Sus scrofa: one gene and its partner. The protein of the gene in region 1 binds, or shares a complex with, the protein of each later gene. Links are inferred from orthologs where the notes say so. Each region holds a gene or a part of one and is shown in the gene's direction. Other genes may lie near its edges. The genes, in order: NXF1 and NXT1.

Region 1 (4,588 bases):
GAGAGTGAGGAGAGGAAGTGAAACTTCCCCAGGGACCAACTTTCCCATCTGGGTTAAAATTTACCTCTTCCTCTCTTCACCATGTGAGGCAAGGGGCCCTGAGCCCTTTGGCTGCCTACACAACCCCAACTCTGGCTGCAGATGACTCTCAATCTGCCAAATGTGCTGCGGCCCGTTTCCTCCCAATTACAACAAGACTGTCAGCCTCACTAGCCATGTCGTCATTTCGGGGTGGGAGCGTCGAAGGGCCTTGGCAGCAAGTGGAGTGAGCCCACTGCCCAGCATCATAACTAAAAGGGTTGGGCTGATGGCCCTGACGGGCCAGGCTCACTCACTCTGTGCACACAGCTGCCTCCCGCAGGGGGTTTCCAGGTGTAGCAGCACTTAGTTAGCATGGAAACTTCCCTTCAGAGGCCCGTAACAGGATCCCAGCCTGGGTCCCTGATTGACGGCAACTTCCAGGACCATCTCCAGAAGTATTTGGACCTGTCTCATCTGCATGCTCCAACCATTTGGCCCCAAACTTACTTGCGCTGGATGAAGTAGGAGCCCTGCCTGCTGCTAGGAGTGAAGGTGACATGAAGAATCCGTTCCCAGCTCCAGCTGAGGCTCTTGGTCCCCTTGAAGCCCCTCACCACATCCAAGCCAGTCAGAAGAATGAAGGAGTGACCTGCCTGGAACACCCACCCTCCAGGGAGGTTAATATGCTTTCTAGTCCTGACCAGGACCCAGAACCACATCATCCTGCATCACTGGAGTTCCCCCACTTCACACACCCGAAAGGAAGCTCAAGCTGTAGAGACAACAGTCACTATACACTGTGCTGGCCCCAGTACTTTGAGGGGTCCAGGAGAGCCCAGGTCTTTCCTAGCCATGGCATTTTAATATTTCCTCTCCCTTTGGCCTGTGTTCAGCGTGTGGTCAGGCTGGCCTCCTCACTGCCCAGTTGACACAAGACGTGGGTTTAGCATAGCACATCCCGGTGGGTTGGTGGGTGGGTTGGTTTGTGAAGACAGCCAAAGCCTGGCAAATGCCGTTTTTCTCTCCTTTGATTGCAACTCTCTCGGAGGGAATGCATAGATCAGTAGTTATTTCACAAATATATGTTGGGTTCCTGCTGCGTGCGTGCTAAGTATGGTATCCAGTCAGGTGCCGGAGAGAAAAAGCCGTGAATTAATCAAGCCCCTGCTCTCTAGGAGTTTACCGTTAGTTTTCTATTTCATTTTATAGGCGAGGAGACCGAGGCCTAGATCTGCAAGTGTCAAAGGGCTGAGCTGAGACTTGCCCTGGCTGGATCCTTCTAGGTGTCTATGTGCGGTCACTCCCGCTCCTAAGGGCCTGGTCTCCCACTCCTCGGAAGCCCTTCCTGTAGCCCCTCTTCCCTGTTCCTCTCGGAATCCTGGGCTGCAGTAGCCACCTCTCCGCTTCACCGCTGACCCTGGAGGTGCTCCAGCAGAGAGCTACTAGCGGCGGGGTGGATGAAAGCAGGGGGCCGGCGAACCCGCGGTAACTCGGCTTCCCAAGCTCAGGTCCTGGGCGGGGCGTGCAACGCCAAGTCCCGCCCCCGGCTAGTCCGCTCGTCGAATGCGCACGCGCGTCTCCCAGTGGTTCCGCCCATCACCGTGGGACGTCGGCTGCGCGCGACGCGCTGGCCGCATAAATGCGGCGGCATCCGGCGTAGGAGCACTTCAGCCGGGAGAGCCTGGGCGTTCGGACGTTTGCCGGTGTCGCGGGCCGCGACAGAGCCCGCCCCTGCTCGCTGCGCCATGGCGGACGAAGGGAAGTCATACAACGGTCAGTGCTGGCCCTTGGGTCGGGGAGCCGGTCGATCTTGGGCCCTGCTGGGCTGCGCCAGCCTAGGCCGCAGCGCCGGGGCGTGAGGCCGCGAGGGGCCCGGCGTCCACGGGGAACGGCGGTGGCGCGGCGCGGGCCCGGGGCGAGGCAGCCCGGGGGCCTGGGTGAGCTTGAGGGTTGGGTGCCGGGGTTGTTGACGCTGGGATCCTCCCTTTGCGGGCCCCTGCGACTCGGAGAGGTGGCTCAGTGGTGGGGTGATGAGATTCCTTTGAACTTTGTGGGTGGTTGATGCCTGTCAGTTCAATTTGGCGGCCAAACTGTTTAATGTGAGTCAGTGCCCTTCTCCTGGGCTGATGTGCCCTATTTTCTACCGCGCGTCCAGGCGATTTTGCCCCCTCCCCCACCTAACGCGTCTGTCGCTTAGGCTTAATATTTTAGATCTGCACATCAACTCGATGTTCTGGTCCAAACACTACACTGAGTTTTAGTCCAGAGCGGTGGTTAGGAGCCGAGGTTTCAATCCCGAGTTGGCTATGCCAAGCTTGAGTAACTTACACCCTCAGACTTCGTTTTCCATCTCCTTAATGAGGATAGAAACAGTACCAGCCTTCTGAGTTTGTCTCCGTGTGTGTGTGTGTTAAAACGAGATCATTCATGTCAGGTGCCTGGAGCATAGTGCCTGACACTGGAGAAGAGTGCTCAGTGAATGTTAGCAACGACTTGTGTGCATTTATTACTTTTTTCCTAGGGTAACTTCTTGAGAAACTCATATTTTTAGTTTTTTAAGGAACCTCCATACTCTTTCCCGTAGTGGCTGCACCAGTTTTCATTCCTACCAACAGCGTAGGAGGGTTGCCTTTTCTCCACATCCTCTCCAGCATTTGTTTTTGTGGACTTTTTAATGTTGGCCATTCTGATTGGTGTGAAGTGCTACCTTATTGTGGCTTTGATTTGCATTTCTCTAATAATTAGTGATGTTGAGCATCTTTTCATGTGCCTGTAGGCCATCTGTATCGTGGGTCTTTTTTTTTTTTTCTTTCTTTCTTTTTTTTGCTTTTTAGGGCCCCAGCCGAGGCATATGAAAGTTCCCACGCTAGGGGTCCAATCAGAGATGTAACTGCTGGCCTACACCACAGCCACAGCAACGCCGGATCCTTAACCCACCGAACTAGGCCAGGGGCTGAATCCGCATCCTCATGGATCCTAGTTGGGTCCGTTAACCACTGAGCCACGCAGGGAACTCCTTCATGGGTCTTTTTTAAGAAGCGCTTCCTACACACCAGGGTTCAGAGGATCATATTCTTGGAGAGGACCCTTGGTGAAGCATCCTAACTGCCACTGGAACCTGAATTCAGGAGTTGTCTCCTTAGTTAAAAGCCTTTTCTGACCAAGAAAACAAAGAGCTCACTCCCAAACGTTCAGAGTGGCAGTTTGAGAATAAGACTTTTAAAAGAAGCCCTTAAATTGGTCCTATCTGTGTGTGGTGTTTGTATTGTATGGGCAAAAGGAGAGCTGTTTCCCCGAAAGCTAGTGTAATCATGAGGACGGATTTGCCACCTGTGAGAGGGGTCACCTCGGGGTTAAGTAGATTTGGGTGGGCCCACAGAAAGCGGATGTCGGGTGACTTTTGAGGGGTTCGAATTGTGTCCAGTTACTCTGGGTCACTCACACTTCACATTCACTTGAGAGTGGCAGTTGGAGAGCAAGATTTTTTTTTTTTTAAATCTTTTTAAATTGAGGAAGGTTGATTTACAATGTAATGTTGGTTTCAGGTGTACAGCATAGTCATTCCTGTATTTATAGATTACACTCCATTAAAAGTTATTGGAAAATAATCGTTGTCATTCCCTGTGCCGTACAACAGATCCTTGTGGCTTATCTCTCTTATACTTAGTAGTTTGTATCTCTTAATCCCATATCTTGCCTTATCTTGCCCCTCCCCCTCATAACCACTAGTTTGTTGCCTGTATCTGTGAGTCTGTTTCTGTTTTGCTGTATACATTTTATTTTTTTAAATTCCACCTGCAGGTAATGTCACATAGTATTTGTCCTTTTCCCTCTGGCTTATTTCACTAAACGTAATACCCTGCAAGTTCATTCATGTTGCAACTATGGCAAGATTTCATTCTTTTTGATGGCTGAATAGTATTCCGTTATGTGTGTGTGTATGCACCACATCTTTATCCATTAGTCTCTTGGTGAACACTAGGATCGCTTCCATAGCTTGGCTACTGTAAATAGTGCTACCGTGAACATGAATCTTTTTGCATTATATATTTCTTTCTAGATGTATATCTAGGGGTGAAATTGCTGGTGGTCATATGGTAGTTCTATTTTTAGTCTTTTGAGAGGAGAACAAGACTTTAGAAGATGCTTGTGGAGTTCCCTGGTGGTTCAGCAGGTCGAGGATCTGATGCTGTCACTGCTGCAGCATGGGTTTGAGCCCTGCCCTGGGAACTTCTGTATGCCTTGTGGGTGCAGCCAAAAAAAAAAAAAAAAAGGTCTTAAATTGGTCATATTTGTAACTGACATTTGTGCTCTATAGGCAAGAGTCCTGTTTACCAGAGCTGATGTAATCATTGAGATTGGTTTTTCCCCTTGTGATTGGTTTTCCTTTGTGATTGGTTTCCCAAGATATAATCACTGACCACATTTCCAGTGGAGTTAAGTAGACTTGGGCACTTGAGAGCAGGCAGTTTTCAGGTGACCTGACCGAGTGTGAGTTGTGTCCAGTTACTGCTCGGGACACTCGCACTTCCACATTCTGCTTCTCCTTTGTAGTTCCAGTTTCTGC
Region 2 (4,555 bases), on another chromosome or scaffold:
TGTACTGGCTTTTAGAAAGCTCAAACTTCAAGGTTGATTTGGTTCCCAATACAGTTATCAAAGGCTTGATCTCTCCCCATCTCTCTTGTCTACCTCGTCACACAAGGGCTCCCTCCTCAGGGTGGCAAAATAGCTGCCACAGCACCATCCACATATCACATGTCCAGAAGGAGAAATAGCATCTTTCCCCCAGTCCCCTGGCAAACTCCTTTTCTAGGTTCAGTGGCCCTAACTGGGCATTCTACTACCCCAGAATTGGGCGCTTAGAGCCAAAGGTATCTCTAACCTCCCAACTCAAGCACCACAGCTGCAGTAAAAACCAGGCTTGCTTCCAAGAGGAGAGGGTTAACTGATAGAGAAGAGTCATTACAACTAGAATGTTATGGAGCAATGAGTTGAACCCAGGACTGTCTGCTAATTCAAACAATATTTATTGGCATTCCAGTCGTGTCACAGCAGAAACAAATTTGACTAGGAACCATGAGGTTTCGGGTTCGATCTCTGGCCTTACTCAGTGGGTTAAAGATCTGGCATTGGCGTGAACTGTGGTGTAGGTCACACGCACAGGGGGCTCGGATCTGCTGTTGCTGTGGCTCTGGCCTAGGCCTGCGGCTACAGCTCCGATTAGACCCTTAGCCCTGGGAACCTCCATATGCTTTGCGTGTGGCCCTAAAAAGACAAAAAGACAAAAACTCTTGCTGTGGGTCAGAAACAATTTGCTGGTGACACAAATCTAGAAGTTTCCTGCCCTCTCACTCTCCTGCTGCTGACTCTGCTGCCTCTCAGCGTTAAAGCCTTGCGTTTTCGAAGAACTCAGAGCAGGATAAATGCCCTCCTAAACATCTTTTCTAGGTCTGAAGGCGTTCTGTGACTCCAAGCTGTCATTTAATTTGTATCTCTCTGCCTCCTCGTCTATACAATCAGGAATGATGATTATATCTCCGCCTAAGGTATGAGAATGAAATGAAAAGGGCTTACATGAGAAACAAAGAAACTCAAAAGCAGCAGGACATCCAATCCAGGGGTCATAGGGGAGGTCAACTCCCGTTTTCATTCCAGTCATACGGTCATTCAGAGTTTTGTACATTAAACTCCATTTTCACTGGCTTGGGCTTTGTAAAGACATTGAAGAGTGAATACCACTCCAGAAGTGTTAGTTCAGTTCACGCTTTTTACTCAGCCAGCATTTTATTTTTTTATAATCCAAATGATTGACTACTTAAGTGGGAGGTCACCTATGCTGTAGAGCACCCCCCCCCCCGCCCCAGTTTCTAAACTTGTCCTGACACCTGAAAGCAAGGGTCCTCTTAGGAAAACAGGCAAAGGTGCGCGCTAGGTAAGCTGACCATAGAGACGCCGGGAAAACGCAGAGCACTAGTAAACCTCACCTGTCTAGAGGCCTCTGCGCAGCCGCGAGACAGCCCCGCCCCCAGTGCCGGAGACCCCAATCAGGGGCCTCATCTACCTTGCGCCGGAGTCAGTGACCCGGATGAACCAATTAAGACTCAAGCGCGGATTTGCTGTGGTCTTCTGGGAAAGCGCCTCTCCCGGAAGCCTCGAGGCCTCGAGCCACACCTGGGCGGGGCTTTCCGGCCCCGCCGTCCCACTGGCTGATACAGCTGCCCGTCACAGGGAGGGGCGGGGCCTGGAGCTCGCGTCTGCGCCGACCTGGCTGGCCCCGCGCGGGAACCCGCGGAGGCGCGGACGAGACCCGGCAGGTCCCGGGAGGAAGGGGCGCGGAGGGGGGGGCTCTTCCCGGCCCCTTCAAGCAAGCGGCGGAGGAGCGCGGAGACTCGGCAGGCCAGGCCAGACCGTCAGGGGGGTCCCCGCGGAGCCGCGGCCCGCGTGACCAGAGCCGCCCACGCCGACCCCAGCTGACTGAGGCCCCCGCTGACTGGGGTCATATCTCCACGCTGACCGGCGCCGACCAGGGCCGCCGCCCCGCTGCCCCTGCCGCTCAGGTAGTTCCCCCCGCTCAGGTAGGTGTCTTCCGTGCCGGTAGGTGCCCCCCCTACCCTCTGCCCCCGCATTGTGGGGATGCAGGCTGGTCCTGCCGCGAGACTTAAGCAGGTTACAGCCCCGCAGGAATGACTCTCTTCCTGCAGACCCTCCAGGTGGGCGGCAGGTTGAGCTGTGTCCGCGGAGGCAGGGAACCCAGGTACCGGGGAATCGCGTAGAAGCCGGGTGAGGGGGAGTCCAGCGAGGGAGACAGGCCTGTGGGGGCGGGGCGGGGGACGGATTATAAACTAGCCCTCGGGAAACGAGTGCCCGCACATTTGACCCCAGAAAGGCAGGAGTCAGTGAGAGGACAGCACCGTCCCAACATCGTGTTCTTAGATGACAGATGGGGGTGTGCCCACGCGGACCCTCATCCACACCTAAGTATTCTTTTCTCATTAGCGAAGTTGTTACAGTAACGCCTCGTCCATTCTGGGGACCATTGAAAGACGTGGTGCAATGTTAAGCGCTAGAAAATAGGAGCTACAAGTGAGTGTCTGCAGAGCCGGACTTGAGATCCTCAGGAGGGGGTGGCAGAACCCGCGTGGGCGCCTGGCCCCCAGGCCCCTTTCTGGAGGGATCTATCTCCAGCCTCGCCAGTTCTGTCCTGGAGGCTCAGGCCTCCACCTTCCTTAGCCCTTAAGCGTTCCTGACTTCTTCCCAGCCCTACTTGGGGTCTTTTATCTATTACATGAGCTGATTTTTTTTTTTTTTTTTTTTTTTTTTTTTTTGCTTTTTAGGGCTACACCTGCATCACATGGAGGTTCCCAGGCTAGGGTTTGAATCAGAGCTGTAGCCGCCGGCCTACACCACAGCCACAACAACGCAGGATCCAAGCCATGTCTGCAACCTACACCACAGCTCACACAACAGCAGATCCTCAACCCACTGATCAAGGCCAGGGATGGAACCTGCACCCTCACAGTTCCTAGTCGGATTTGTTTCCGCTGTTCCACTGCAGCATGGTGGGAACTCCTGATTTTTTTTTTTAAGTTAAGGTCTTTGAAACGAAAAAATATTCAATATTTAAGTTTGTAAATCTAAACATATTCACTATCTTGGTAATGTTGTCCTCTGTTTGATTTTTGTGTGGTGAAATGTTTTAATCATGCAAAAAAAGAACAGAACAGTTGTACCATACCCGGAAAAAAAGCAAGTAATAATTTTTCCTTATGCTTTTGGACTGGTTTTGTTGTTGTTTGTGCTGTTCCTTTTGGCGGGGGACAGCAGTTGGCAGTGGAAGTTCCCGGGCCAGGGATCAAACACATGCCACAGCAGTAGCCAGAGCCACAGCAGTGATCCCTAACCCACTGAGCCACCAGGGAACTCAAAGATGTTTCTAATAATGGGTATCTATATTGCTGGGCACTTTTTTTCTTTTTCTTTTTTTATTTTTTTAAGCCATTCTCACAGCCTGCAGAGGTTTCTGGGCCAGGGATCGAACCTGAGTCAGTGACAACTCTGAATCCTTAACTACTAGGCAACCAGGGAATTTCCTCTGGACTGTTTATAAAGGAAGTTGACATTTTGGCTTCAGCCAAAATTCTTTTTTGCTGCCACCACCCCTTCGCCCTGCACCTCATAGAATCTCCGTCTGGCCCCTGCCTACTTTCATTAGCACTCAGGGCTTCCCTGTGCTCCTAGGATCTGCACATCCTCCCTCATTCCAGTCAGCACCAGCTTCGCTCCTCAGTGCCCAGCAGCATGAGGACTGCAGCCACCATAGCGGTCCTGTCCAGTCCTCGTAGCATTTGTTCTCTTAAGAAACCTGCCTTCTCCTCGCTCCCCAGGCCCTGTGGCTGAGCTCATACTAGATGGCCCCAGACTCATCAGCTGAGCTCTGCTGGCTGGCTGGCCTTAATTGGGCCTCTCTTCCCTTCCTGGGTGCACTGTCTTTACGGGGTACACTGCTTCCCTGCTTCTCCAGGGCAGCCACACCTGTTCCTCTCTGCCAGGATAAAGCAGCCTTCCATAGTCAGATGGCCTGTAGCTTATAAAATGAGTTCATTAGAATTCATAGTAATAGCTGCCACTTGTGAATGTGTGGGTCTCAGGCTTTTTCTGTCAGCGTGCGGTGTACACTGCTTTGTCTATTCCTACATTCAGTTACGCACAGTAACTTTAAAACGAGCAAACTGAGGCGCAGTAAGACTAGGCATCGGCACCAGTGTCTTCTGGAATCCTCTCCACCGTATGTATTTGTTCTGCCACCAGCAGAAGACGCTGGCACTCACACAGGCTCTCTTCGACTTTCCTGCCCCACAGCCTGGCTCCCCCAGGAACAGGAGGCACCTGGGCGGAGGCCGGAGATGGCATCCGTGGACTTCAAGACCTACGTGGACCAGGCCTGCCGCGCAGCCGAGGAGTTTGTGAACGTGTACTACAGCACCATGGACAAGCGGCGGAGGTTGCTGTCCCGCCTGTACACAGGCACTGCCACCCTGGTGTGGAACGGCAATGCCGTTTCGGGACAAGAATCCTTGAGTGAGTTTTTTGAGATGTTGCCTTCCAGCGAGTTCCAGATCAACGTGGTAGACTGCCAGCCTGTCCACGACGA

The links.
Region 2: the proteins of NXF1 (region 1) and NXT1 are in contact, whole or in part, in a crystal structure (PDB 4WYK), measured with the Homo sapiens proteins. The link is inferred for Sus scrofa from reciprocal best matches to the Homo sapiens genes NXF1 and NXT1. Residues at the interface, in NP_006353.2 of Homo sapiens: Ala366, Pro367, Thr368, Thr369, Leu370, Pro371, Pro372, Cys373, Lys374, Gly375, Tyr377, His411, Gly413, Cys415, Cys416, Ser417, Leu418, Ser419, Ile420, Pro421, Phe422, Arg440, Asn441, Val442, Lys443, Lys444, Lys446, Pro448, Thr449, Arg451; in NP_037380.1 of Homo sapiens: Phe6, Lys7, Val10, Asp11, Cys14, Glu18, Thr44, Val46, Trp47, Asn48, Gly49, Asn50, Ala51, Phe61, Met64, Leu65, Pro66, Ile72, Ser73, Val74, Val75, Asp76, Cys77, Gln78, Pro79, Val80, His81, Glu83, Ala84, Thr85.

Annotation. Positions count from the first base shown.
Region 1 is NC_010444.4:8,968,302-8,972,889, forward strand, and holds the start of NXF1 (nuclear RNA export factor 1), read left to right. Parts: upstream 1-1,766; coding exon 1,767-1,794; intron 1,795-4,588.
Region 2 is NC_010459.5:30,336,744-30,341,298, forward strand, and holds the start of NXT1 (NTF2-related export protein 1), read left to right. Parts: upstream 1-1,635; 5' UTR 1,636-1,979; intron 1,980-4,263; 5' UTR 4,264-4,307; coding exon 4,308-4,555.